Rattus norvegicus: one gene and its partners. The protein of the gene in region 1 interacts with the protein of each later gene in a biochemical or structural test. Links are inferred from orthologs where the notes say so. Each region holds a gene or a part of one and is shown in the gene's direction. Other genes may lie near its edges.

Evidence for each region.
Region 2: the proteins of Tbp (region 1) and Ahr form a complex in vitro, tested with the Homo sapiens proteins (2 studies listed by BioGRID). The link is inferred for Rattus norvegicus from reciprocal best matches to the Homo sapiens genes TBP and AHR.
Region 3: the proteins of Tbp (region 1) and Drap1 are reported together in a solved structure, tested with the Homo sapiens proteins (2 studies listed by BioGRID, with this or other methods). The link is inferred for Rattus norvegicus from reciprocal best matches to the Homo sapiens genes TBP and DRAP1.
Region 4: the proteins of Tbp (region 1) and Btaf1 form a complex in vitro, tested with the Homo sapiens proteins (2 studies listed by BioGRID). The link is inferred for Rattus norvegicus from reciprocal best matches to the Homo sapiens genes TBP and BTAF1.
Region 5: the proteins of Tbp (region 1) and Brf1 form a complex in vitro, tested with the Homo sapiens proteins (2 studies listed by BioGRID). The link is inferred for Rattus norvegicus from reciprocal best matches to the Homo sapiens genes TBP and BRF1.
Region 6: the proteins of Tbp (region 1) and Rela form a complex in vitro, tested with the Homo sapiens proteins (2 studies listed by BioGRID). The link is inferred for Rattus norvegicus from reciprocal best matches to the Homo sapiens genes TBP and RELA.
Region 7: the proteins of Tbp (region 1) and Gtf2f1 form a complex in vitro, tested with the Homo sapiens proteins (3 studies listed by BioGRID, with this or other methods). The link is inferred for Rattus norvegicus from reciprocal best matches to the Homo sapiens genes TBP and GTF2F1.

The regions. Positions count from the first base shown.
Region 1 is NC_086019.1:65,139,708-65,143,207, forward strand, and holds part of Tbp (TATA-box-binding protein), read left to right. Parts: intron 1-1,070; coding exon 1,071-1,450; intron 1,451-3,500. UniProt on the Homo sapiens protein: The TFIID basal transcription factor complex plays a major role in the initiation of RNA polymerase II (Pol II)-dependent transcription.
Region 2 is NC_086024.1:57,978,402-57,981,901, reverse strand, and holds part of Ahr (aryl hydrocarbon receptor), read left to right. Parts: intron 1-3,223; coding exon 3,224-3,327; intron 3,328-3,500. UniProt on the Homo sapiens protein: Ligand-activated transcription factor that enables cells to adapt to changing conditions by sensing compounds from the environment, diet, microbiome and cellular metabolism, and which plays important roles in development, immunity and cancer.
Region 3 is NC_086019.1:212,160,963-212,164,906, reverse strand, and holds Drap1 (dr1-associated corepressor), read left to right. Parts: upstream 1-1,144; 5' UTR 1,145-1,349; coding exon 1,350-1,391; intron 1,392-1,622; coding exon 1,623-1,695; intron 1,696-1,780; coding exon 1,781-1,874; intron 1,875-2,153; coding exon 2,154-2,273; intron 2,274-2,371; coding exon of another isoform or gene 2,372-2,392; coding exon 2,393-2,486; intron 2,487-2,626; coding exon 2,627-2,715; intron 2,716-3,093; coding exon 3,094-3,199; 3' UTR 3,200-3,795; downstream 3,796-3,944. Other genes in the region: Bles03 (UPF0696 protein C11orf68 homolog), read right to left, coding at 1-128, 785-906. UniProt on the Homo sapiens protein: The association of the DR1/DRAP1 heterodimer with TBP results in a functional repression of both activated and basal transcription of class II genes.
Region 4 is NC_086019.1:244,079,504-244,083,792, forward strand, and holds the start of Btaf1 (TATA-binding protein-associated factor 172 precursor), read left to right. Parts: upstream 1-1,489; coding exon 1,490-1,524; intron 1,525-4,147; coding exon 4,148-4,271; intron 4,272-4,289. UniProt on the Homo sapiens protein: Regulates transcription in association with TATA binding protein (TBP). Removes TBP from the TATA box in an ATP-dependent manner.
Region 5 is NC_086024.1:137,899,587-137,903,842, reverse strand, and holds the start of Brf1 (transcription factor IIIB 90 kDa subunit), read left to right. Parts: upstream 1-1,456; 5' UTR 1,457-1,535; coding exon 1,536-1,719; intron 1,720-4,256.
Region 6 is NC_086019.1:212,360,836-212,364,335, forward strand, and holds part of Rela (transcription factor p65), read left to right. Parts: intron 1-1,288; coding exon 1,289-1,369; intron 1,370-1,476; coding exon 1,477-1,551; intron 1,552-2,631; coding exon 2,632-3,251; 3' UTR 3,252-3,500. UniProt on the Homo sapiens protein: NF-kappa-B is a pleiotropic transcription factor present in almost all cell types and is the endpoint of a series of signal transduction events that are initiated by a vast array of stimuli related to many biological processes such as inflammation, immunity, differentiation, cell growth, tumorigenesis and apoptosis.
Region 7 is NC_086027.1:1,937,398-1,941,370, reverse strand, and holds the start of Gtf2f1 (general transcription factor IIF subunit 1), read left to right. Parts: upstream 1-1,173; 5' UTR 1,174-1,299; coding exon 1,300-1,311; intron 1,312-1,397; coding exon 1,398-1,444; intron 1,445-2,700; coding exon 2,701-2,773; intron 2,774-3,973. UniProt on the Homo sapiens protein: TFIIF is a general transcription initiation factor that binds to RNA polymerase II and helps to recruit it to the initiation complex in collaboration with TFIIB. It promotes transcription elongation.

The DNA.
Region 1 (3,500 bases):
TAAGAGAAAGCAAGAGAAAGTGACATGTAACCATGCAGTATTGAACATGGGTTTGTAAGTCTTGTTTTACTTTGTGAAAATTTCTGATTTAGGTAGATATGATGCTCTTTTGTTTGGGAAATTTATTTGGAACCTAATTTATTTAGAAGACTGTTCCAACTATATGAGCTGTAAAACTTTTATTTACTCCAGAAGGTTCCTTCTTGCTCCTATTGCAGTCACGTTCCTATTACAAGATTACTACCAAATCTGCTTTGAATTAAACATTAGTTTTGATGTTAAACGTGTGCATGTGTGTGTGTTTGCAATAGAATTACACCTAGATTATTACCAATTCAGTATAAACTTTACCATCTCTGTTGTTCTTCTACCTCCACATAATTAATTAAATCTACCTTATTTTTATAAATAAAATTTTCAATTAGAATTAAATCTATATTTGTAAAACATAGAAGCATTATAGAAAAGGCAGTTGACAGTATATTACAGACTTTGTTGACTTTTGTTTTTAGTAGAGTAAATTGCTTTTTAGAGTAGTATGATAGAGGCGTCCATGAGCCTGTCATCTCGAACCTCTAGGTGACCATGTGATCCATCATCCAGAATTGACACAGTCTTTGTTAGTGGATAATCTGCATATACTGAATAGTACTTTGGAGGGGAGGTGTTGGTGTTTTGAGACAGGGTTTCTCTGTGTCATAGCAGCTCTGAAACTTGTGTTATAAACCAGGTTAGCTTCGAACTCACAGAGATCCACCTGCCTCTGCCTCCAGAGCTAAGATGCCTGGATACTGAGTGGTACTTTAAATAGGGACATATGCTTTTTCTTTATGGTCTAGATATGCTTGAGAGGCTAAGCATCTTTCTTATATCATATCATAAGTAACAGCCAGATTTCAAATCCCAAGTGCTCGTCTACTGTGTTCAGTACTACAGAAGATAGTGGTGCATCTCAGGACACAGATTCTTCTCTACTACTGAATGACATATACTGAAATACTTATCTACTAAGGAAAAGCTAAATGAGCCACCATCAGTCTCTTAGTCATTGCTCTCTTTGCTTTCTACAGGGTGCCATGACTCCTGGAATTCCCATCTTCAGTCCAATGATGCCTTACGGCACAGGGCTTACTCCACAGCCTGTTCAGAACACCAATAGTTTATCTATTTTGGAAGAGCAACAAAGACAGCAGCAGCAGCAGCAGCAGCAGCAACAGCAGCAGCAACAGCAGGCAGTAGCAACTGCAGCAGCCTCAGTACAGCAATCAACATCTCAGCAGCCCACACAGGGTGCCTCAGGCCAGACCCCACAACTCTTCCATTCTCAAACTCTAACCACAGCACCATTGCCAGGCACCACCCCCTTGTATCCTTCACCAATGACTCCTATGACCCCTATCACTCCTGCCACACCAGCCTCTGAGAGCTCTGGGATTGTACCACAGCTCCAGTGAGTACCTCTCACTTGTGTACACACCGCCCCCAACCCCCTGTGTGTAACAGTGAGTGAGTGAGTGAGTGAGTGAGTGAGTGAGTGAGTGAGTGAGCGAGGTTTTTCTGTTTGTGTTTCCTGTCCTGTGTCCCCTGCCCTATGTCTCTGCACCAGAAGAGGTACTCGGTGCTATTACACTATTTGCTTTCTGACAGTGGATTTACTTAAGGAAGTGACCCAGTGGTAATTCGGTTATACTGTGACTTCATTTGTTCTTGACAAGGAATTAAAGCTACATAGTGGGTCAGTGCTCTCAGCAGAGACTTTCCCTTAGAAATGGAGTTGCTTGTGTTTATGTATTTTGGCCACTGGAATGCAAACTGACCTTCACTGATGCTGTGGACAATTCTTTATAGCTAAGTGGCAGAGTCACAGGCCAGTTGTATCACAGCCTCTGCCATAGTGTCAGCACAGGTCTTAGGGGTCCAGGTTTTTCTTCAGTTTTGGCTGTGAGGGCTGTATTTATATCTTTGGAGATCTTAGTCACTCTTAGAGTGAGGATAGCAGTTGTCTTGAGGAATTTTTTGCCTCAGAGAAGTATTTCTCACATGTAAAAAAGGTGGAAGGTTCGGGCTTTTTTCTTTCTGAAACAGCCCAGACTTTCCAAACACCACTTAGTAACAAGAATATATATATATAGCTTTATTTTAAGACAGCTTAGTGGCTGATTAAACGGTTCTTCACAGACAACACTATCGGTTTTTGTGTTTAATAACTCTTCCTTCCTACTTTCAACTCTGTTTCCCATTTCCACTTAGTTTTCTGCATAGATAGTGTCATTTGTAAGCCATGCCAGCTCCTTTTTTTTTTTCTTTTTTTTTTTTTTGGTTCTTTTTTTTTTTTTTTTTTTTTTTTCGGAGCTGGGGACCGAACCCAGGGCCTTGCGCTTCCTAGGTAAGCGCTCTACCACTGAGCTAAATCCCCAGCCCCAATCCCTTTTTTAAACTAAGTGGCATAACCTGACTATACCTTGCCTGTGTACAATTTTAAATTACTTTTGAGTTTAAAGGGATAAGTTCTGTAAGCACTCCTTTTGTCTGAACTGCTCTAAACTATTTCTCCGTGCCTGCTTGACGTCCACAGGCATCCAGGTTTATACTTCTGATTAAAATCACTTATGAGGGGTTGGGGATTTAGCTCAGTGGTAGAGCACTTGCCTAGCAAGTGCAAGGCCCTGGGTTCAGTCCCCAGCTCCGGAAAATCAATCAATCAATCAATCAAATCACTTATGAGCTTAGGACATAACTTGTTTCAATATCCACAGAGCACGCAATTTACCCACATTACTGTTTCCATTATCTAATAGTATTTCTTATTAGGTGTCAGTTCAGTAGACTTATAAAGAATTCAGGTAAATATTTAACTTTCTTTTTTAAATTTATTATTTTATTACCTACATTCCAAATGTTGCCCCCTCACAATATTTAACTTTCTAAAATAGGAATACATTTATCATTTGACTGACTAAATTTGTGACAGGTACACCAAAGTGAACCTGAAAATTCAGTTCAGGTATGGGCATGCTGAGTCAAACTCGTTTTTAAGTAAAACAAGAATTTTTTTCTTAGTGTTACCTTGGTTAGGGGGAAATAGATATTAGAAAAGCAAAAACTGGCTACCTGGCTTTATGATTATGTTTAGAGAAAACTAGTCTAATAAAATTTAATTTTTAAATTCAATTTTGGGGGCTATTTTTGAGACTATCTGATTTGACAAACCTGGCTAGCATGGTGCTGTTTATACAATACAATTCTTAATTTTTTGAATTCTTGATAATTCTCCTACCTAAGCCTCCCACATGCTGGGTTGCAGATTTGCACTAATAAGTTTTTATTAAAAGTTCTAGGCCAGGTGGTGGAAGCCCACACCTTTAGTCCCAGCACTGAGGAAGCAGGGGTAGGCAGACCTTTGTGTTTTCCAAGACAACCTAGTCTACAGAGCAAGCTCCAGGATAGCCAGGGCTACACCGAGAAACGGGTCTCAAGATGAAAAGAAAAGTATTTCCTAG
Region 2 (3,500 bases), on another chromosome or scaffold:
CTTAACCATTTTAGTGTGTATGTGTGTGTGTATGTGTGTGTATGCAGGTGTGTGTGTGCGTGTGTATGTGTGTATGCATGTGTGTTTGTGTATGTGCTTTGTTGAATCATCTCAGTCATTTTCTCTTATGCATACATCAGTGTTGGAATGGAATTTAACTTTCCTAGTCATAATAATAAAAAAGATAAAATATATTAAATTAATAGTAGTGATTAAGCATAAGTAAAACAATAGTTTTCCCCCTCAAACTGTGCCATGCCACATTTCAACTTAAAAGTAAACTTAGAAAAACGAAGAACAGATAGTTTAGCAGAATCCTGTATATTGTCCTCTTGAATTTTATTTCTTCAACAATTCAAAATAATATACAAGAGAGGGAAGTCTCATGTTAGAAAATGTAGGTTCCGTAAATGTCAGTTGAGTCCAGACCGGAGCCGTGGGTGCTGGGTTATGGCTACTTGATAGTAACATGCCTTTGCACACAGAGTACAGTCAGTTCTCTCTACTATGGAATTGCTTCAGATGCTCTAGAGGAAGTCATCCTTCATACTATGGCATTTTACTGTCCTCATCTTTGGCTACTTTAACATTCCTGTTACTTCAGAAGGGGGTATATAGCCCAGATGTCTATTAAAATTTAACAGATGCCTGACAGGTGGCAGAATCAATGACATTTTCAGATCCTACATTTCATTTCTACAGACTGTCACATCTTCCATGGCTGCTAAGTTTCAAGTATCATAGAGATTGGATTATATACATGATGTGTGTAGTGCTTCCTAGTGGTAGAGATATCGTAGTCACCATCTGGTTATCACAGTAATTCTGTCAGATGGCCATCCATGCGTTCCATTTAAAGATGAGGAAATGGTTAGCACTCGGTGCAGTCTTTTTGTAGTGCTTCCAGGGTGTGTAACAGGGCAGAGTTTATCATGCATGCCCTTTACTGTTCATGTGTAAGCTGGATGTTATTTTATGCTCGCCAGGATTCATCTCAGGTGACAGCATTGCTCTTATGTAAAGGCAGGAAAACTAGAGGTGAAAACAGTGAGCTCAGTGTGAGAACTGTGGGGTGGGTGGGTCATCCCTGCACACCGGGAAGAGGCTCAGGCTGCCCGGATTTCCATGCAGGCTTTACCTCTTAAAGCTTGGCAACTCCGAGGGAGTTTCTTCATCTTCTATGTCTTAGTTTCATACTATATCAAACAAACAATACCAGTGACATAAGGTAGTTTTGGAAATTAAATGGGACATAGATCGTAGCCCCAAGAAAATATATTATTGCCGGGTGCATAGAGTAATTCTATAGGTAGGAAGCAGTTGCCTTATTCCATGGGTTACTTAACAAGTTGAGCAGCACACTCGAGGAGAAAGAGTATTAATCCAGAGTCTTGGAATTTAAGAAGTAATAGTTATGATATTAAAACTTCAAGGAAAAACAAAAAGGTTAAAATAATCCAGTGTGGCTTGAAAAGTGTGGTCATAATGTAAGCTTTCTAAGACAGCACAGACGTGTTTTGTGGGGAGACCCTGGGAAGGGAGAGCACTGGCTACTTCTGGACACATGTTTGTGCAGTATTTACTTCAGTCCTTTCCTATGGACTAAACAACAGAGATATTGTCTGGCCTGCTTGGAGTACAACCCATCCAGTGACCATTTCCAGAAATCCATTTATTGTGCATATCAAGTATTGTGCTTCTGACATTTAAAGCTATTCCGTGTGAAGACCCTGCTTTTATAAACCATCTCCACACTTTCTGTAATGTTCCGTAAACCTGTTCTGATTCTTGACTCCTTTATGACATTCTTTTCTAGTTTTTTTATTTCTATAGCTTGTAAATCATCCTCAAAGACTGGCTAAATCCAATTTGCATTGGTTACTAATCTTCACAGAAGCCCAGTAGCAAACTTGACACAAGTTGTCTTATTTCCTGTCTGGTGATGAAGGACAGTCTGGTGGTGAACAATGTATCTGGCTGCTGAGCTGTTGTTTTCTCTTACTGGTAGTGACGTGAAATCTGTTACTCAAAAATTAATGTGAAGAGACTTCAGTTGATAATCGGGGTCTTCTGTTGGACACTGTATTGGTGGAGTTTGAGACTGGTCCTGCTCCTTTTATAAGAATGTCCAGTTTGAGTTTGGCTTTCATCCCATCTTTTCAGCAGTGGGTCTGACTTGGTAAAGCTCCCAACTTCTTTGCTTGGTGACATGGAGTAGAGTCTTTATCTTTGGCATCATGAGCGGCCAGTGCTTTACAGCAAGGTTCCCCAGTCAAAATAAGCAGCGGCAACAGCTAATACTGTACCGAAAGGAAGAAAGGGCCATTCTCTGTTCTGCATTTCAGTGAGAAGCATTTAAGTATTTCCTTTTAGTCTTGATTAGCAGGAGACCAGTTTACCTCACACTATTTTTTGGCCTGAGGAAATCTGTTCTCTGGCCTTTTGAAAACTTTACGCACAGAGGCCAAACTCTGGCCTCTTTTCTCACAGAGATATCTTTCAGCTTCTGCAAAGGTAAGCGAGAGCTTGGCTCAAGGTCCCGGTGTGACACATACACTGATGATTTACCGGAAAATGCAAACACGAGAATGGCTCACATGACCCTTGGCTCGCTAAGAAAGCTTCCCCTGAGCCGGGGGAACTGAGAAATCTAATAAAATACTTCTTGAGGACTGCAGACTCACTCTTTAAATATCACCGGGTAGAAAGGGATCAGGGAAGATAAGAATGCGAAGCACTTAGGAGATTACTCTTTCTAATAAGGCAATCCTTACACTCCCGTAAATACTCTAATTAGAGCAACTGTTTATTGACCTGCTGGTCTGCTGTGTCAGGAACGGCATGAACATTTTCACTGCCCCTCATAACAGCTTCATAGGAGAGTCTGGTTTAGTTTGTTTGCTTTGGTTGTCCTTTCACCTACTAGTAAACAGGCTCAAGGAGCTGATATGCGTAATAAATGGCAGAACTAAGATTTGTATCTAACCGGGTCAGATATGTTAGCCATGCATTTGCAAGTGAGATTAGTTAGTGCAGGCTAAAATGCCGAAGTAAATGGTAGCCATGATCACTGTGTCCAGTCGTGTTGCCTCTCGCCGAACCCGCTGCACACATGGTGTTTCGAATCATCCACTTTGATGGTTTCTACTGTAGTCTTTGAATATTGCTTGTTTGAAGATGTGCCTTTGTGTAATTACTTCTTCCTTTTTCTTTCCCCCTGTAGTTGCATTAAAATCCACCCCGGCTGACAGAAGTAGAGGCCAGGACCAGTGTAGAGCACAAGTCAGAGACTGGCAGGACTTGCAAGAAGGAGAGTTCTTGTTACAGGTATCGCTATAATGCAGTTCCCCTGTGTGGTTCAGGAGCACACAGAAGTGGGAGGGTCATCTATCCTAACTTCTCTAAGTCACTCAAGACTGCAGCACTGGTCTTCTCTAGTTCCCGGCAGATGGGATTATGAGAAATGGATTAATCTGGTCTAATCACCCTGGGATTATGGG
Region 3 (3,944 bases), about 150 Mb from region 1:
GGGCATCAAATACCAGCCAGGGGTCCATGTCAGCTGCCATGGCCTCTGCAGCCAGGTGCTCAGCAGTGAAGCCATCCTCACGACCACCTGGAGAGTCCTCCTCTTCCAGCTCTTCATTTGGTTCCATCCTGTTGTGAGGGAACTGAGTCAGAAGTTTGAGACAGTAAATAAAAAGTACTGGGTCCTAGAGGGTGCCAGGCACTGCTTTTAACTGTGGCCTTGGGCAAGTCTTAATGTCTGTGCCTCAGTTGCTTCATCTTCACAATGGGATAACAACTGATCCTGTCTAGATTTGTCTCTAGAATAAAATGCCTGAGGTGGAGTCGCTATTGTCAGTACTACTTTCACTGCTTAAAAACAAGGAAATTGAAACTCTGAGAAAAGGGGCTTGCCCAAGGTCATGTCTGTAAAGACCGTTAAAGCTTAAGTGTTAACTGGCACAGGACTCTGCTACACCACAGGACTAGAGTCTCGCAGGTAGCGCGGCGCTGCAATTTAATGGACGTAGGCAAAACGCAGGTTCGCCAATCTCAGAGGCTGGCTGGAGAGGGGCCAGGCCTCCCATGGTGAACTATTTGGGGCACACTTATCAACACCAAGACTCTGAGACCCAGAGAGGACAGCGGCCCATCTGGGGGTCAATGGGCAACATCCGGACTCGAACCTGATAGGACAGAGTCTGCGCGAGGACCAGGCTCCAGCCTTACCACACCCGCCGCCATTAGTGTTCACAGGTAAGGGTTGCCTCCACCCCCGGGCTGCCCTCTCGTCGCCCCACAGTCACCTCCGGCCTTCACTCCGCTCCGCGCCAACCCAACTTCGGGCCCGGCTCCGTTCCTGCCCGGGGTCTGCGCCGCCACCCCCGCCGCGCCCCGCCCCTGCCACGGCCGCCGCCGCCGCCGCCATCTTAGGGTCCCGCCACCTCAACAACAACTTTATAGACAAACACAGTCACGGGGCGGGGCCAGAGGCGGAACCAGAAGGCTAGGGGCGGGGGCTCCAGGGGAAGGGGCGGGCTGAGTTCAGGGGCGGAGCCAGCGCGAGAATCCCGGGAGGTGCAGGTCTTCAGGAGGCGGAGCTAACGTTCGTACTTTAGCTTGGAGGGCGGGTGGGCGTGGCGGGCGATCCCTGAGAAGGACGCGCACCGCCCTAGAGGATCCAAAGCCCAGCGCTTGGGTTTTGGGAGCTGCTTTTCTACGAACGGCACTAGGACCCTGCGAGAAGTGGTGTGGGCGGAGTAGGCGGCACCAGGACCGGGGGGAACCGCGGCCGGCTGGCGGCGAACAGGCCCGGGGCCTGGAGGCTGCGGGCGGCGGCGCTGGGCCCGGCGCAGCGTGAGAGGCCCCGAGATGCCAAGCAAGAAGAAGAAGTATAACGCGCGGTTTCCGCCGGTGAGCACGTGGCCGGGATGGGCCTCTGCAGGCTAGGTTCCTGGGAGGCTTGGGCCCAGGTCCTGCTGGTGGGGGGACGGGTGCTTTTAGGTGTTCATGGCCTGACGCCCCGCCCCTTCCATGCCCTCCTGGCTTAGTGCCCCCCGCCCTCTTCTCCTGGGATACCCCCCGGTTCACTCAGCTCCCCTGTAGAGACGCAGGAGACGAGCTCTGTCCCCTTCCCCTCGGCAGGCGCGGATCAAGAAGATCATGCAGACAGACGAAGAGATTGGGAAGGTGGCGGCAGCTGTGCCTGTCATCATCTGTATCCTACTAGGGGCTGGCTGGGCTGAGGGGCGTGGGGCGGGACTGCGGCACTCCCCTTTTTGGATTCTCCTTGACGTCCTCAGCCCGGGCACTTGAGCTCTTCCTGGAGTCTCTGTTGAAGAAGGCTTGCCAGGTGACCCAGTCTCGAAATGCCAAAACCATGACCACGTCCCACCTGTGAGTGGCCGCTAAGCTGGGCTTTTGAGGAGGCAGTGTTCTGACAGGGGGAGTGGTGCGCTGCTGAGGGAGGCCAGCTTTGTGGGTTTGGACTGATGTAGGAGAGATAAGGTGTTTCAGGTGGAGGGAACAACCAGAGCCAAGCCGCCCGCCCGGGAGGCCTGGTGGAAGTGGGGAGGGGTGTTCCACTGTACTGACACGAAAAGGTTGTTTCTATGATTCCGGAACATCAGTGTTTTGGGGGCCCTTTTTGAACACCTTCCTCTCCCACTTCTACAGGAAGCAGTGCATTGAGCTTGAACAGCAATTTGACTTCTTGAAAGACTTGGTGGCATCTGTGCCTGACATGCAGGGTGATGGGGAAGACAACCACACGGATGGGGACAAGGGTCCTCGAAGGTGGGTAACCAAAACCAGGTATATAAGTGGGAAAGGCCAAGGCCACAAGGGTTGGGGGTGGCTGGGGGGTGAAGAAGGGGAGAGAGTCCTCTGTGCAGATGGCCTGTACCTTCCCGAAGGGGCCGGAAACCAGGCAGCAGTGGCAGGAAGAATGGAGGCACAGGAAGCAAAAGCAAAGACAAAAAGCTGTCCGGGACAGACTCAGAACAGGAGGTGAGTGAGGCCGGTGGGGAAGGCCTGGTCTCATCCTTGTTACAGCCTTTGTATCTAACTCCATTGCCTTACCAGGGTTCTGGGCTCCCCAGAGAAGGGCCCAGACCTTCTCATTAACCTGACCCTTGCTGTGCTCACAGGATGAGTCTGAGGACACAGATACAGATGGGGAAGAAGAGACACCACAGGCCCCACCCCAAGCCAGTCACCCCCCTGCCCACTTTCAGAGGTGAGCACCCCAGGGATACCAGAAAGAGGCACAACAAACTCCCCAGAGCCAGTTAGTTTTACTTCCCTAGCCATTGGTGGTGGTGGTGGTGGTGGTGGTGGCGGCGGTGGCGGCGGCTGACTTTAGGGAATGGAGGGGAGAGAACACTATTAAACACAAGAGATTGTTCTGAGAAGGCCTTGCCTCCATGGTAGTGGGTCGGGGAGAGAGTCTGGAGAATGGTCTTTGCTGGGACCTTCCCTCCTAGGGGGGTTGTCTCCATGATGTAATGGGTGGCTTTGACTACACCTGCTTCTGTCTCTGGAGAATGGGGGTGGGCCTGTGGGTTGGGCACAGCACAGTTCCAAGCTCTGATTTTCTCCATTTTCTGTCCTGCAGCCCTCCAACTCCCTTCATGCCCTTCACCTCTCCTCTGCCTTTACCCCCAGCACCTCCCGGCCCCTCAGCACCTGAGGCAGAGGACGAAGAGGATTATGACTCCTAGCGCCCTTTAACCCTGGCCATATGCTCTTTTAGTTAGTATTAGTTGCTTTGGGGAGAAGAGAAAGATGGAACTGTTCTTAAATTTATTAAAAAAAAAAAAGGATTTTGGTTTCTTTTCATCCTGTGTCCAGGGCTTCGTGGCTGTATTGCCCATCCCCCCACCTCCCCACATGGGGGCAGCAGGAAGGAACATTGTTGGGGCAGCCAGTGATTGAGTTAAAACAGGGAGTCTGACAGGAGTCTGGGGCACTGAAGAAAGGAATGTGGTCTAGGGACTGAGTTGCCACATGCTAAGGGGTGACCTCTCATTGTGTGGGACCTTGGGCACCTTCTTCCCCTCTCTGGACTGCTGAGAAGGGACAGATGGAATCAGTACTGAGACGGGGCCTTGAAAAGTATAGTGTTGGGCTGGAGAGATGGCTCAGCGGTTAAGAGCACTGACTGCTCTTCCAGAGGTCCTGAGTTCAAATCCCAGCAACCACATGGTGGCTCGCAGCCATCTGTAATGGGATCCGATGCCCTCTTCTGGTGTGTCTGAAGACAGCTACAGTGTACTTATATATAATACATGAATAAATCTTTTTAAAAAAAAAAAAAGAAAAGTATAGTGTTCTGCAGCCAGTGCAGTGACGGGCTCGGCACAGTGAAGAGACGGGTACCTGAGATAGCAGAGGGTCTGCGAAGCATCTTTGGAGCCAAGCAGTCTGCCAACTGTATCTGAACAGCCTGGGCAACCTGTGTGCCAA
Region 4 (4,289 bases), about 180 Mb from region 1:
CTTAAAATTTCTTTTTAAAAGCATTTATTTTGGGGGACAGGACATGCCACAGTATATATGTGGAGGTCAGGAGACAATTTGTGGGATACTATTCTTTTCTTTAACTATGTGGCTTCTGGGGATTGAGCTCAAGTTGTTGGGCTTATTGGCAAGCACTTACCTGTTTAAGTAATCCATCCTACTGGTCTCCTAAAATAATTTCCTGAAAAAATTAAAAGGTTTTTTTTTTTTTTTTTGCCATTGAGCTTGAGGTGTTCTGACTAGCAACGTGCAGATGTTTGTTGCTATTTCCAACGTGCAGATGTTTGTTGCCATTTCCAAGGATTGTTTTGAAGACTCACAGCTGATGTTCATGAACTCTTGACATACCAGTCTCAGGAAAATAAGTCAGAAGGGCTCGAACCTGAGAATCACATAAAACGAATGAAGGGAAGCTGTTGATAGTACACAGATGTTAAGTCTGATCTTACCTTAGAGCTTTTAAAGAATATCAGTGGTCATAAACAACTTTCCTTTCTTTTGTTTCGGAAGCCTAATCTTTCTACCAATCCTTTAGCGAAAAACAGAATGAATGGTGTGCTAGTCAGTATTTGTCATTATGCCAGGTATCTATCTGAGAGACAGGAAGAGGAAGCTACTTGAGATTACTGTTTCAGAGGTTACAGTTCACGGTTGTCTGGTTCCATTGTGTGGACCTGTGGGAAGGCAGAATAACTTGAATATAAGGCATGGTAGTGTAGAACTGCTCACCCCAGGCAGAGAAGGGACAGGAGAGAGAGAGCCTTTGAAGACATATTCCAGTGATGTGCTTCCTTCAGCTCGGCCCACCTCTGAGGCTTCTCCTACCATTCCAAATAGCACCATATGCTGGTAGTCCAACACACGAGCCCGTGGAGGATTATTTTATCTTCCACATACAGGTAAAAGCAAGTGTTTAGATAGCTGTGAATGAACAAGGAGAAAACAGTCTACATGCTCAGTATCTGTGTAAGTTAATTTTTCCATTTCCTTTAGAAGCTTACTGTATTGGATTTTTTGAAAATCTTAATTTTGAAAAATTTTGAAAGTCTTTAGCTTTAATTGCCTGAAGGAATTTTCTTGAGTTATATCTTTCTTACCATACCCTTAACTATAAAATGTAAATCATGTGTTGGCATCTTGTTCTGAAACAGTTGAACATTTCAATACCATTAATATGGAGAGAAAAAGATACATTTTAGGGGTTGGGGATTTAGCTCAGCGGTAGAGCGCTTGCCTAGCGAGCGCAAGGCCCTGGGTTCAGTCCCCAGCTCCGGAAAAAAAGAAAAAAGAAAAAAAAAGATACATTTTAGTTATTTTTCTAACCAATTCTAGTGATTTTTGTGCTTAATGTGACTCATTTTTTAAAAAGACCATGTTTGTGCTGCTTGCCTCTGCCTCACTATGTAGCCCAGTAGTTCCTATGGTGGAACTTAGATCCACCAGCCTTGTGAGTGTTGGTATTAAAGGCATGGGCTACCAGGCCTGTCCTGTTTTCCTCTTAATGTGAGAGGCATTCATTTATTTCTTTTGTCCTCTAAAACTTTTTTTTTATTTCTTCTCCCTTTTCTTTTTTTCCTTTCAGAACTTTGTAGCTTTTTAGTTCTTGTTAGATAAAAAAAATCCCAGAAATATTATAAACCTTTTAGTTTATTAATGCTTAAAGCTTATGCCTTACTTTGGGACCTTGTTTGTTCTCTCTTCTCATAGATAAAATGTAAAACTATTCACTAGCTCTCCCCTCATGTTAGATGGGCATTCTTATAACCTTGCTCATCGTTTGCCTCGATTTTGTTTAAAGTGTCCGTATATCCCAAACAAGAAGCCTTCTTCTATAGGCATGGCACTCACGTTACTTCAGTGGGTTAGTGTGGCAAGGCTAGCCCTGTGTGGTGCGTAGATAGGTGGGTGGAGTTGTGACTTTGTCCACCGTCCTTACTCTAAGCATAGTCTGTTGTGATTTTCATTGCATACCTTGCTTAGAAGTAGCAGAGCTAGGGTTTGGATTTGTGTCATTCTCTCATATGTTGCAAGTTCAGGAATATATTAGTAGTCATATTTATCACCTCTGCAGATGACCTTACCTTCCAGCTCTTGTAAACATTAACTCTATTCCAACTATCATTTTGTGCTGTCTTACACTTTCTCTGCCACTGGTGAGCTTGCCATCTTTTCTGTTTTCCTTCAACTACCCCTTTTGATTTCTTTCAATGATTATCTTTTTTCTTTTTAGGAGTGGCATGGGATGGGATGGGAAGTTGTGTCAAAGTCCCAATATGTAGCCCAAGCTGGTCTTGAACTTGGTTGTAGCTCCCAGGTTGGTCGCATTCTCAAATTGATCATCCTGCCCTGTTTTCCAGAGTACTGGGATTATAAGCATGTGCCAAAAAGTAATCCTTGATATTTTCATTTCTGAGATTAGAAATCTTACAGTTCTTTCAATACCCATGATCTTTTGCTTAATTACCACACTGTGCGTGTTTTGTTTAGATGTATGTTTTGCTTCTGACTACTAGCTTCTTTGGGTTTTTGTATGAATTGTGGTCTAATTTTCTACAAGACTTTCCACTACTGCCAGATTAGTCTTCCTAATCCATAACCCCAGTCACACTTGATGCTCTGCTCTATTCTGTTTGCCTTGTCCTTTCTTTTTATGTAACCCAGGCTGGCTTTGAACTCACAGTATCTTCTTTCAGCCCTCTGAGTATTCAAATAATTGTGCACCCCCATGTCTTACTAGTCCCATCATTTTTTTGACCCAAGACTTTTTTGTTGAACTATACAGTCAAGGATTTCACATTATTTTTGTAGTTGTATTTCTTTTCCTCTTCTTTCTTTTGTTAGTTTATTATTTATTTAGTTAAACAAGGTCTTTATATGCTGGCTAGTTGGGAAGGTTTCATGTATATGAAACCTTTCGGTTTTCAGTTCTGCTCTGCACTCACCTTACAGATGAGTATGATGCCTAATAGGTATCCTTTTCCATTCAGAGAATGTGGGACCAAGTCAGTCTCTCCATCATCTCCATCTTGGTTAGAAAGTCCACATAATGTCTAATAGTATTAGCCCTTATGGTACCAATCACACAATGCACATTTCTATGTGTTGAGGATTTATAACTTCCCTCATAGCCTACCTCTGCCTCTTTCCCAAGTGCTGGAGTTGTGCTTGGCCCTCCTACTGTTTTCTGAGTTAACTCTGACTTAAAACCAAGCCATGTTATTCATTTTGCAAGTTACAATTTTTTTGTTATTGCTAGCTCTTTTAAAATTTCACTTATTTATTTATTTATTTATTAAAGATTTTCTTTGGAGTTGGGGATTTAGCTCAGTGGTAGAGCGCTTGTAGCAAGCGTAAAGCCCTGGGTTCGGTCCCCAGCTCTGAAAAAAAAAAAAGATTTTATTTATTTATTGAATATAAGTACACTGTAGCTGTCTTCAGACACACTGGAAGAGGACATCAGATCTCATTACAGATGGTTGTAAGCCACCATGTGGTTGCTGGGAATTGAACTCAGGACCTCTGGAAGAGCAGTCGGTGCTTCTATCCATTGAGTCATCTCTCCAGCACCAAGATAGGCATCTCTTTTTTTCTTTCTTTCTTTCTTTTTTTTTTTTTTTCTTTTTCTTTTTCTTTTTTCTTTTTTTAGGAGCCGGGGAACGAACCCAGGGCCTTGCTCTTGCTAGGCAAGCGCTCTACCACTGAGCTAAATCCCCAACCCCAAGATAGGCATCTCTTATAGACACAGCTTTTACGTTTTTGTTTGTTTGTTTGTTTGTTTTGTTTTTAATCTTTTTGAGGCACAGTTTTACATTGCCCAAGTTGACCTTGATTTGGTTGGTCTTTAACTCTTTTTTTTTTTTTTTTTTTTTTAATTTCTTTTTTTCGGAGCTGGGGACCGAACCCAGGGCCTTGCGCTTCCTAGGCAAGCGCTCTACCACTGAGCCAAATCCCCAACCCTGGTCTTTAACTCTTGATCTTTCTGCTTCTTAGGTGTGGGATAACGGGCACAACATGCTGCTACACCCGGCTCCCAGCATAGAGCTTTGTTTACAGGTTGAATACATTTTCTGCCTCACGCTTATGAGGAAACACATTCAGATTAACTGTTGTATTTTTGCTATTATAGACTCGATCGTCTTTTTATCTTACTGGATACGGGTACTACCCCAGTTACAAGAAAAGCCGCTGCACAGCAACTTGGAGAAGTGGTGAAACTTCATCCTCATGAATTAAATAATTTGTTATCTAAGGTAAGAACTCAGCGTTTT
Region 5 (4,256 bases), on another chromosome or scaffold:
TTGTGTGTGTGATGTTGAAAGGTAAAGGATAACTTTGTAATTTGAGAGTAAATTCTCTCAGTCCACCTTTGCCTGAGTTCTTGGGATCGAGCTCAAGACAGTCAGATTTGTCTGGCATGGGCATTTACTTGCCAAGCAATCTCGCTAACCCTTCCTTTTCTATGTTTTGAGGAGATCTCTTCCAAGTTCTGTGTTTGTTTGTTTGTGATAGGGTTATCCCTGTGTTTACAGAGCCCTGGCTGCCCTTTGTAGGTTAGGCTGGCCTCAAACTCACAGAGATCCACCTGCTCCTGCCTCTTGAGCGTTGGGACGAAAGCTGTGCACCAACACAATTGGCTTTTTCCAAGTTTGTTTTGTTTTTTTTTTTAAGCATGTTGATATTTCACTTGGAATTACACTGGTTTTGCAAGCTGATCAGAATTATGCGTATTTACAATGCTTCCTCTTACTCGAGAAAGGATGCTTTCTAATTCAGTTTGAGCTCCTGTGGCATCCTGCAGTCTAATTTTGGAGTTTCTTACCTGCAGTAGTACGCAAGATTTGCTAAACTTCGCAAGGACTGACGGGTATGGCTAAGAATGAGAGCCGCGCCTGCAGATGCAGGGGGTTCTGTGTATGCTCCACTTTACCCAGAGCTCTCCACCATGAAATAGGGAGTCCTGCTGAGAATCCAGCGTTGAGGGGGACCAAGTGTTCATCCTGGGCGGAGGGCACGCGGAGGGCTGCAGCGGAATCTGGAAGAATATCCCAGGTCCCTCTCAAACCTCGGCCAGGCGGGCAGTCCTTGATCCTACCCCAGGCGTGCTTTCTCCCCAGGTTCCTCCCACTACGTCCAGCCTCGAGGCCTCTACCAAAGCCTATTGTGCCAATCAATGCAGGCTTCACGGTAACCCTGGGCCCGGCCTTGGTCGCACTCAAGTTACCGCCCACAAGCACATCCCACTACTTTTGTTTCCAGATTCCTCTCACAGACAATCGGCTCTCCTTATGCTCTGCGCACGGCTTGTTTCTCCGCCTCGGCCCCGCCTCCAGGCTCCTCCCATACCTCTTGGGACTCTTCCCCGGCTCCGCCCATCGGCCAAGCCCTGCCCCTCCCCAGGCTCCTCCCACGGCCCCGGTCTCTTCCCAGGCTCCTCCCACGGCTCTGGTCCGGTCCCGGGCAGCGCTCCTTGCCTCGCCCCGCCCTTCTCGCCCGCCCGCAAGCCCCGCCCCGTTCCTTGGCTTGTGGCCCGCGAGGCCTACGGGCTCCTGGTTTGGAGCTTCGCTTCCGGCCGCCCGGAAGGTCGGCGGTTCGGTCCCAGCGTCCCAGTGATTCTGGAGTTCCTTTATTGGTCCCGCGGGCGCGGCCGTTGGAGGCGGCGCGGCCCGCACGCGCGTGGCGAATCTGCCGCTACGAATCGGCGGGCGTGGCGCCGGCGGCCTCGCGAGAGTGCGGCACAGACGGAGGCGGTGCGACGGGCCTTGCGGGCTGAGGGCCGCGGGCGGAGAGCGGGTTGGTGAGCGGCAGGGGGCCGGTGGGGCCCCGCGGCTCCAACATGACGGGCCGCGTCTGCCGCGGTTGCGGCGGCACGGACATCGAGTTGGATGCGGCGCGCGGCGACGCGGTGTGCACGGGCTGCGGTTCGGTGCTCGAGGACAACATCATCGTGTCCGAGGTGCAGTTCGTGGAGAACAGCGGCGGCGGCTCGTCGGCAGTCGGCCAGTTCGTGTCGCTGGACGGTGTGTTCTGCAGCTCGGGGGAGGGGGACGGGCAGGTCTGAGTGTGCAAGATGGGTAGGAAGTCGAAGCTAGCGGGGAAACGGAAGCAGATCGCCCTGCGACGGACCGTGGGTAGTCGGACAGGGAAACTGAGGCAGGGCCCGGCCGCGAATTTGCAGCCAGGTCCCCTCCGTGTCCTGTACGCTGACATGAGCTTCGCGATCCGCCGGGTCCAAGCGTCGCGGTCTGGTCCAACGGAGGTTCGTCCGGCTGGCCTGAAATCTGGCAGGCACAGCTTTCAAGCTCGCGCCTGATGCAGGTTCCGTTTATCCGGTTGGTCACTCTGACAGGTGTCATTTGCCCTAAGGGCTAGAAGAAGGGTTTGTTTCCTAACGGTTGAGTGTCGAGTCTTTAGTGAGTTATACTTCCAAGTCTTTCTTTGTATATATGATTCACGAAACAAAAGTTACTCATTTGAGCGAAGGTTTTACATTTTGAAGCATTCTCCAGTTTGGCGCCTGTTTCTTTTGTCAGTAATGTAAAATGTCTTCGTTTGAATTACCACATTTGTCTTCTAAAAGTTAACGTTTACCCTTTTATGTAGTTTTGTTTTTATTTTCTGAGTAATGGAGATCTAACCCAGGGGACTCTGGCACACTAAAGAGTTCCCAAATCCGTATGCCGTTGGAAGCCTAGTCCTTCCGTATTTTGAGTTAAGCCTGTGGGAAGTGCGATGTGCAGATTTAGGCTCCTTTCTTGCCCGTGGAGGTACCATTTTCCCCACACAATTTGCTGAAAGGATTCTTTTTTCTTTCTTTTCTTTCTTTCTTTCTTTTTTTTTTTTTTTTTTGGCGTGGAGTTACCATTGTTCCTCAGCAGAGATCCTTGTGTGCCCCGCCCCCTTTGCGAGTCTGCTCCCTGGTTCTGTCTTGCATTCATCCTTACCTTTTGTTTACATTTAATGTTTCGAGATGAGACTTGTGAGCCAACCAGCCTTTGCCTTCCTTTTTAGAATTGTCTGTAATCTCTTTCCCTTGGGTTGTAGAGTAACTGCATTTGCATATTTGTATTGTGTGTGTGGCTCTGGAGCAGGTTTTCCTCACACTGAGCAAGTGCTCTCTCTGCCAGTGAGCTAAATGCCTGGCTTTTTACATTTTAATTTGAGTTAGGGTTTTTGACAAGTTGTCCAGGCTGACTTTGAACTTAGTAACCCAGGTAAGCATTGAACTTGAAGTCCTTCTGCCTCGGCCTCCTAAGTAGTTCCATTATGAGCCTGTACTACCAAACCCAACTTTTGTTTGTTTGTTTGTTTGCTTGCTTGCTTGCTTTTGAGACAATGTTTTTTTTTGTTTTTTTTTTGTTTTTTTTTTTGAGATAAGGTGTCCCTGTGTAAACTGGCCGGCCTTGAACTTTTAGCAGTTTCCCCTGCCTCTGTCTCCTAAGTGCTGGGATTACAAGCATGCACCACCATGCCCTGTGTGGCTGAGTGTGTGTGTGTGTGTGTGTGTGTGTGTGTGTGTGTGTACATGGATGCACATGTGTGTAGGCATACATGTATGTATGTGTGGGCACATGGGTAAGGAGACCCAAAGTAGTTGGCATCAGGGGTTGATGTAGTCGATAATCTACACTTCACCAAGTCAGGGTCTCTTGCTGAACTTGGAGCTCCTGATTCCTGGCCACTCTAGCTAGCCAGTTTGCCCAAGGGATTCCCACTCTCAGCCTCCCAATTGCTGTGGTTATGTGGCTAACACACCTGACATGCTTTTCTGTGGGTTCTGGGAATCTGAACTTTAGTCATGCCTCCACAGCAAACATTTAACCCAGGGGACCGTCCACCTTCCCAGCCCATGTGGCAGGTTCTTGAATCTGCTGTGGGTTCCAGAAGTAAGCTCATCTGGGGTATTGTCCTTCGGAAATGCTGGTGGGTTTTCATCTCTGTTACATGGGGTGTTGGTCTGTAACCCAACATCTGTCAGCCTTGGATGTGGAGGTATCGCACTCCTGAAACAAGTGAGCCACGTCCCCTGCCCTCCCCAGCTCCCTGACTTTCTGGAAGGGACTATGTACAAACAATGCACGCTGCTCTTTTTCTCTTTCCTAGTTTCACTGTGTAACCAACCTGGCCTTAAACACATGATGCTCTGACTTCAGTCTTCTTCCCAGCAGGAGTGTAGGTGTGTGCCTGCCACTTCTTCCTTAAATATTAGGTAGACGTCTCTAATGCAGCCAGCTGGACTTAGGTTTTCTTTTCCAGCCTCTGTCATAGTAATGGCTGTAGTTACATTTCAGATAGTTTCTGACTTATTCTTGGAATGGGTCATCTAGTTGTGGGACTCATGTGTTAAGCAAATTGTCTGCAGCTGAGCTTTACCCCTATGTTCTATATGTCTGCAAGGGACTGTGTGAAGTCCCTTTTCTCTTTGGATGTTGGTGTCTTGTGTTTTTGCCTTTCTGGCTGCTTCACCAGTTTTGTTGATATTTCCAAAAATTTGACTTTGGGTTGACTTTTCCCTTCTGCATTTCCGTTCCTGTGGTGTGTTTCACATGTCACATAA
Region 6 (3,500 bases), about 150 Mb from region 1:
CATCTGTCTTCACACTGGCAGGAGCCTGTTCTATGGGGCCTTCACAGGGGCCTGGGCACCCTTGGGAGCCTGGGCTGGAGCTTTGGCCTCTGCCTTGGTTTGAACCTTGGGCTTTGGTTGGCAGAGCCTACGACCCTTGGCCATGTAGCTTCGTTCGAATCTTCTTCCCAAGCTTGAGGTGAGCGATGAAAGCCAGACGGCTGAGTTTGCGGCTGGAGCCCTTTGGCATCTTGGGCTTGACAGCCTGAGGCTTCACGAGGGCCTTGATGGCCTCTGCTCGTGCACTCACGGCCTTGGCATTGTTGGCCTGCATCTTCTTCAGACCTTTCTTGTTGTGCTTCTTGGCAAAGCGCATGTTCCTCAGAAACTTGGGGTCGACCCCCTTAAGAGATTGGTATCTTTGTGACCGGGGTTTCTTGATGCCATTTCTGTGCCATTTGCAGGACTGGTTGTGTGTGGTGTGGTTCTTGGACTTGGCCATGTCTGCACAGTAAGCCCCGGCTCCCCCTGGTACCTTTTAAGGTCACCTTTTTGATAATTAAATCTCACGTGTGCTTACTCAACCCCACCTCCCTCCAGCGGCCAGGAGGAAAGCCAGCACATAGTAGGTGCTTGGCAAGCTGTGTTGAGTTAGGATTGGAGGATTGAAGGGAAAAAATGATAGCTCCAGTTTCCAGTTTTGGTGCCAGGACAGACGGGGAGACACAGGAAAAAACTAGTAGTTTGGTATGAAGTTCGCTTAGGAGGCATGCAGCTGGGGCGTTCTACATAATTCTGAAGTTTCAAACTAAAAGAAGACGCCATTAACTGCAATGAGTCTGGAGTCTTAGGCTACCCTGTGATGCCCTGCCCACAGTGCTTCCCTCTCTGCCTAGGTAGATACTTAGGTGAGCAGCTCGAATGGCACTCTCAGGCTCTTGTGCCCCAGAGCAGGGCTCCTCTACTCAGCAACCCCAGGAGTCAAGACCAACCAACAAGGCCGGGTGTGGTGGCGCACGCCTTTAGTCACAGCACTTTGGAGGCAAAGGCAGGTGAATCTCAGTGAGTTTGAAGTCAGCCTGGTCTAGTCTCCATAGTTCCAGGACAGCCAGGAGTGAGACTGTCTCAAAAAACAAAGCAGGGAAGAAAATTGAGCCGACAGACCCTTCTCCAAAAGTCACGCATCTTTTTAAGTGGTTGGGAGATGAGGTCTTAGACAAATATGACCCCACTACTCTCCTGAAGAGCCCATGGGAGAACCGCAGCCCAGCTAACAAGAGTAAACCCACCGTCCATATTGCTTTCCCAGACGATCGCCACCGGATTGAAGAAAAACGCAAAAGGACCTACGAGACCTTCAAGAGCATCATGAAGAAGAGTCCTTTCAATGGTGAGATGGGGAGAGCCTGAGGGAGAAAAGTGGGCAGGTGGGCCAAGCTCCAGAATCAGTGAGAGGAGACCTAGGATCTGAAAGCTGACCTAGCTTTTGCCCTGTAGGACCAACTGAACCCCGGCCTCCACCCCGACGTATTGCTGTGCCTTCCCGAGGCCCAACTTCTGTCCCCAAGCCAGGTAAGGAAGTCCTTTTGTCCTTCTAGAATGAGGGTCTCGTTTATTCAGACTGAAGTATCTTCTAGAAGGGAACAGAACAGACACTAGTCTCACCTGCAGAGTTCTGAAACCTGCTCTCTATGGGGCCTGTGCTTCTCGGGGTGAGGCCTGGGTCTCTGCCAGGACCATCCAGGGAGCGGTGCAGATGTGGACTCTTGGGCTCTGTCACAGACTGATAAACTCAAGGCTTTGAAAGTGGGGCACAAGAACTAGCCATTTCCTGAGGGTGCTATTGGCTCCAGTTAAACCCTGAGCCCTTTATTCCCTGCTACTCAGGAGAGTGTGGCAAGAGGGTCACGGGTTCAAGGCCATCCTGGACTACAAGGTTATTAAATTTAAGGTCAGTCTGAAGAACCCTGTCTCAAGTTTAAAAGTAAAAGCAGGATAAGAACAGCTCAGAGGTAGAGGCCTTGCCTGGCACAGAGGCCCCAGATTCAATACTTGGTACCAAGGGATTAAATAATCCCTGCAGATACAGACATCGGAAATGTCTCTGCCCTCAGCTCTCTATTGAATTTAGAAAGAAGAAATCACCTCTAAAGTAATAAGTTGTGGGGCTGGAGAGATGGCTCAATTAAGGGCGCTTGGTTTCTGTTCTCAGCACCTGCTTGCCGGCCCCAGCTGCAGCGCTAGGGGAGCCAGTGCCTCCTTTGGTCTCTGAGGGCACTGCATGCAGTGCATACAGAAAAGCAGGAAGGCACACACAGACAAAGACTTTTTAACAAGTCATGGGCTGTGAGTGCTGGCAAGTGGCTCAGAAAAGTAGCACATGCCCATCACCAAGCCCACGTTCCATGCTTTACCCTCAGCTGGCCTTGCCGCTGTAATACGAGAACATTAAAAGGTCAGGAGTGAGAGCTTTAGACCGCTGGTAGTTAGGGAACACCTCAGTGTGTCCCCTACAGGCCTGGTCAGTTTGGTTCCCTAGAGAGGGAGGGATTGTAAGCACCAGAGAGCCGGGCTAGGTGGAGGCAGAGGGGCTGTGCAAGTCTCTCTCTCTCCCTCGCTGTTTCTGATCCTTGTTCCTTGCTTTTTCTCCAGCACCCCAGCCCTATGCCTTTTCAACATCCCTCAGCACCATCAACTTTGATGAGTTTTCCCCCATGGTGTTACCACCTGGGCAGATCTCAAACCAGGCCTTGGCCCTGGCACCATCCTCTGCCCCAGTCCTGGCCCAGACCATGGTCCCCTCCTCAGCCATGGTACCAAGTCTGGCTCAGCCCCCAGCTCCTGTCCCAGTTCTAGCCCCAGGTCCTCCCCAATCCCTGTCTGCACCTGTTCCAAAGAGCACCCAGGCAGGGGAAGGCACCCTGTCTGAAGCCCTGCTACACCTGCAGTTCGATGCTGATGAAGACTTGGGGGCCTTGCTTGGCAACAACACAGACCCAGGAGTGTTCACAGACCTGGCATCTGTCGACAACTCAGAGTTTCAGCAGCTTCTGAACCAGGGTGTGGCCATGTCCCACTCCACAGCTGAGCCCATGCTGATGGAGTACCCTGAAGCTATAACTCGCCTGGTGACAGGATCCCAGAGGCCCCCTGATCCAGCTCCTGCAACCCTGGGGACCTCAGGGCTTCCCAATGGCCTCTCAGGGGATGAAGACTTCTCCTCCATTGCGGACATGGACTTCTCAGCTCTTCTGAGTCAGATCAGCTCCTAAGGCACTGATGGTGACCCTGCTCAGAGTGGGGCACTGAAGCCTTCCTGAAGCATGTACAGATTCTGGGGAGTGTGCACCAACTGCCCCCAACTTCTTTGGGTGATATCTCCTGGGGGTGGCACATTTTATTCTTTTATCAGCAATATCTCACTCTCTTTTTGGAGGTGCTTAAGCAGAAGCATTAACTTCCCTGAAGTGGAGCTAGGAGGACTCGGGCTCTTCCCCTGTACGATAGTCGGCTCTTCTTTT
Region 7 (3,973 bases), on another chromosome or scaffold:
AACCCACCCAATAGCACCCTGCTCCACCCACCATGCGGTCCTTTCTATCCTGCCTGCTTGTGCCTCTAGTCACACAACCCTTTCCTCTCCTTCACAGTCATGGTTCTTTGTTCTTTGTCCTTTTTGACTCCCTTTAGTCTTCCTAACCAGCCTTTGTAACTCACGGTGCGCTCCCCGAAAGTGAAGAAATGAATGTCTCCGCTACTAGATACATCAGTGGAGTCAGTTGTTTATGGTTCTGTAAAGACTAACATGGAATCACCATATCTCATCCTTCTCAGGTTCAATGTCTGTACCACCCTTGACCCTCTGAGGGTCCCAACTCCTATGAGTCCCACAGGCTCCCTTTTTCTGATTCCTCCCCCGAGAATTGTACTTTCCATCTCTGACACTGGCTCCTCTACTCAAGTTATATTCCAAAGGCATCAACCAATGGTGGGGTGGGAGCATGTGCAGATGCGTTCCTGTCGTGCAAGGGTTGGTGTGCACAATCAGGTGGTGGGATACCTGCCCACCGCCCCCTTCCGTTGCCTCATGTAGACCAACTACCCCATGTTGTTACCCTTCTCCTGGGGCCGTAAAGCTCTGCCCAGCTGGGGCAGCGTGGACTCGCACAGACCCATCCCGCCCGCAATGCTGGGGTACGCCGGGGCCGGGTCTCTGCCCTGCAACGACTCCTCGGCTCCGCTTTACGTCACAAGGGACTCATTTTGCAAGATCCTCGGGATCCCCTGACTCCAGGACACAAAAGAAAACGGAATCTCAGACCCACCCCAGAAGAGCCCCGGAGGCCATTCCACAGAGCGAGCCTCGGTTGCCATGGCAACGCGGCCTCCGCTCCCGCTTCTTGGACATTTACGCTTGCGCGAGAGTACCGAGGACGCGAACACCAGAAGACTCCATTCCCACCCTACCCAAGATGCTCCACGTTGCCCGCGTCTTGACGTCACGAAGTGACGTATTCTCACGTGATTATAAGTTATCCGTGATGTAAAAGAGAACACTGGGAGAAAGCAGCTTTATTTCGCTCAGAAGCTGGAGAAGACACAGACTAGGTACAGTGGTAGCTCTCGTCTCCGTGTGGCAGTTCTACTTCCGGGTCAGGCTGTGGCGCATGCGCAGCGTTCTAAGTCTCTTTTTTTTCTCGTCTTCCAGCATTCTAGGAGACTTAAGGGTTTGGAAATCCAAAGCACAGGATCACACTAACGTGACAACCAGGAAAGGTGCTTTCCCTGGGTCCGAGGGACACAACCAAGACCATCCAGGTCTGGCCGACCCGGAGCAGCTTGAGCAACGGCCATGGCGGCTCTAGTAAGTATGAATGAGGTGGGGATGGAGGTGTCGCAAAACAGACCCCGCGCCCTCTTCTCGCCTTACAGACTCCTGTTCTTTTGCAGGGCTCCAGCAGCCAGAATGTCACTGAGTACGTCGTCCGAGTCCCCAAGTAAGTCCCCGTCCATCCACACTTTAGAACCTCGGCCCTGTGTTCCCCTGCCACGCTGGCCCTACTGCCGCGTCCAAGACATAGTAATATGTCTTGGTAAATCTTGGTAGTTAATGTTAGGGTCTGTGACTCTGTCCTGTTTCAGACTGGTCAGGCCAGACATGGTGGCTGCCTTTAATCTCAGCACTTGGGAGGCAGAAACAAGAGAATTTCTTTGAGTTCGCGGTCAGCCAGGTCTATAGAGGGAGTTCCAGACCAGCCAGGGCTACATATCGTGAGAGCCTGTCTCAAAATAAAACAAAATTCCAAACTGGTCACAAGTAGTACACATCCTGCTTTCTGTGCCAAGTGCCATGGCCCTCAACTTCTAATTTTATCTTAGGTGGGCCTGTGGTAGGCAAGCACTGTACCACTGATCTACACCTAGTCCCCTTTTATTTTTTTGTTTATTTTGAAGACACAGTTTTACTGTGTAGTCTAGCCGGTTTGACCAGGCTGACTTTGAAACCCACTAAGACCCATTCACCTCCAGCCCTTGCCTGCCTGCCTTCCTCTCTACATAAAGGTTCTCTACACCTTTGGTTCATTTTTTTCTTTTTTCTTTTTTTTTTTTAAAGATTTATTTATTTATTATATATAAGTACACTGTAGCTGTTCAGACACACCAGAAGAGGGCATCAGATCTCATTACAGATGGTTGTGAGCTACCATGTGGTTGCTGGGATTTGAACTCAGGACCTCTGGAAGAGCAGTCAGTGCTCTTAACCACTGAGCCATCTCTCCAGCCCCCGGTTCATTTTTTTCTTAAGGATTTAGTGTTATCTCTGTGTATGCCTGTGTGTATATAGATGTGTGTTGTGAGAGTGCCTGGTGCCTATGGATCTTTATATGGGGTTGGATGAGATGGAGTCTTTAAAAAAAACAAAACAAAAACAAAATTAAAAAATCCCTGAGAAACTGGAGCAGTGGTTTTCAACCTGTGGGTCGCCTAAGTCCATCAGAAAACACAGATATTTACATTATGAATCATGATAGTAGCAAGCTTACAGTTATGAACTAACAAAAATAATTTTATGGTTGGGTCACTACAGCATGAGGGGGTCATAGGGGTATTAGGGGTCATAGCTTTAGGAAGGTTGAGGACCATTGTTCCCGAGTCTTTTTTGAGTTCCCAGAATTACCTACAACCAAGGGTGTAAATCGTAGATTTGTTGAATGGCTAATCGATGGATTGAATAGTTTCTTGCCCATTCCAGGAACACAGCCAAAAGATACAACATAATGGCTTTTAATGCAGCTGATAAAGTCAACTTTGCTACCTGGAACCAGGTAAGTGTATGCCTCTGGGTGTCTGGGGCAGAGACCTAACCCTGGGCTGGTGACTTTACTGAAACAGTAGTGCCCACACCTGTAGCCCCAGCAGACCTGTGATTCCAGCTATTTGGTGGCTGAGGTAGAAAGACTGAGTGTTTTAGACCAGCCTATACTAAATAAATCCTATCTCAAAGAGAAGAAGCTAGCCTGAGGGTACGGTTCAATTGATGGAGCACTCATCTGGCATATAGGAGGCCAGGGGGACCACCAGCGCCATGTATAATGGGCATGTTGGCTGGCACACGCCTGTTATCCAGCATGGGAAAGGGGATAGGATCTCAAATTGAAGACCATCCTTGGCTACATAGTGAGCTTGAGTGAAGCCCCGGATATATATATATATATATAGACCATGTCTATATGTATACTATAAAGTAAAGTAACGGGTAACAAGATGACAAGCAGGCCATGTCATGTACAAAAACAAATGCATTTTATAAGTTTGGAGTGTTTGTTTTTAAGATAAAGCCAGCAGGCCATAGTGACACATACCTTTAATGCCAGTTCTTGGCAGCAGAGTCAGTGGATCTCTGACTTTGAGGCCAGCCTGGTCTGCACAGTGGGCTTCAGAGCAGACTGCCTATACAGTGAGACCCTGTCTCGAAAGGATAAAACCATACCACAAGATGGGTACAGCCAGGGATACTAGCATCCCAGCACCAGGGAGGTGGAAGCAGGAGGATCATAAGTTTGAACAGCCTGAGCTACATAACAGGATTCTCTAGATAATACTAAGAGGAAAAAAGTGTTAAAGGCCAAAGTTTTAAACTACCCAGTATTCTGGGTGTCATGTTAAAATGTTACTATTTCCATATTGTCTGGGTTGCTCCTGAGCCTTCCTCGGGTGGTCTCCGTGATCTCATGGACCAGTCTGTTTTACTGTTGTAAGTCCCACATTCCTCATGACCAGAGTCGTGTGTGTGTGCATATGTGCATGTGGGCATGCTGTGCATGTCAAGGCTAGAGTGGACATCAGCTGTCTTCCATAGTCACTCTACACCTTATTATTAAAATGACATCTGTTGGGCCACAGGTGTGTGAGGGATGCAGAGTTGAGATCAGAGAAGAGTTTGCAGGAGTCGGTTCTCACTTTATGCTGTGTGGGTCCTAGGGCTTGAACTCAAGCCTCAGTCCTTTTGCAGGCTATACTTTATG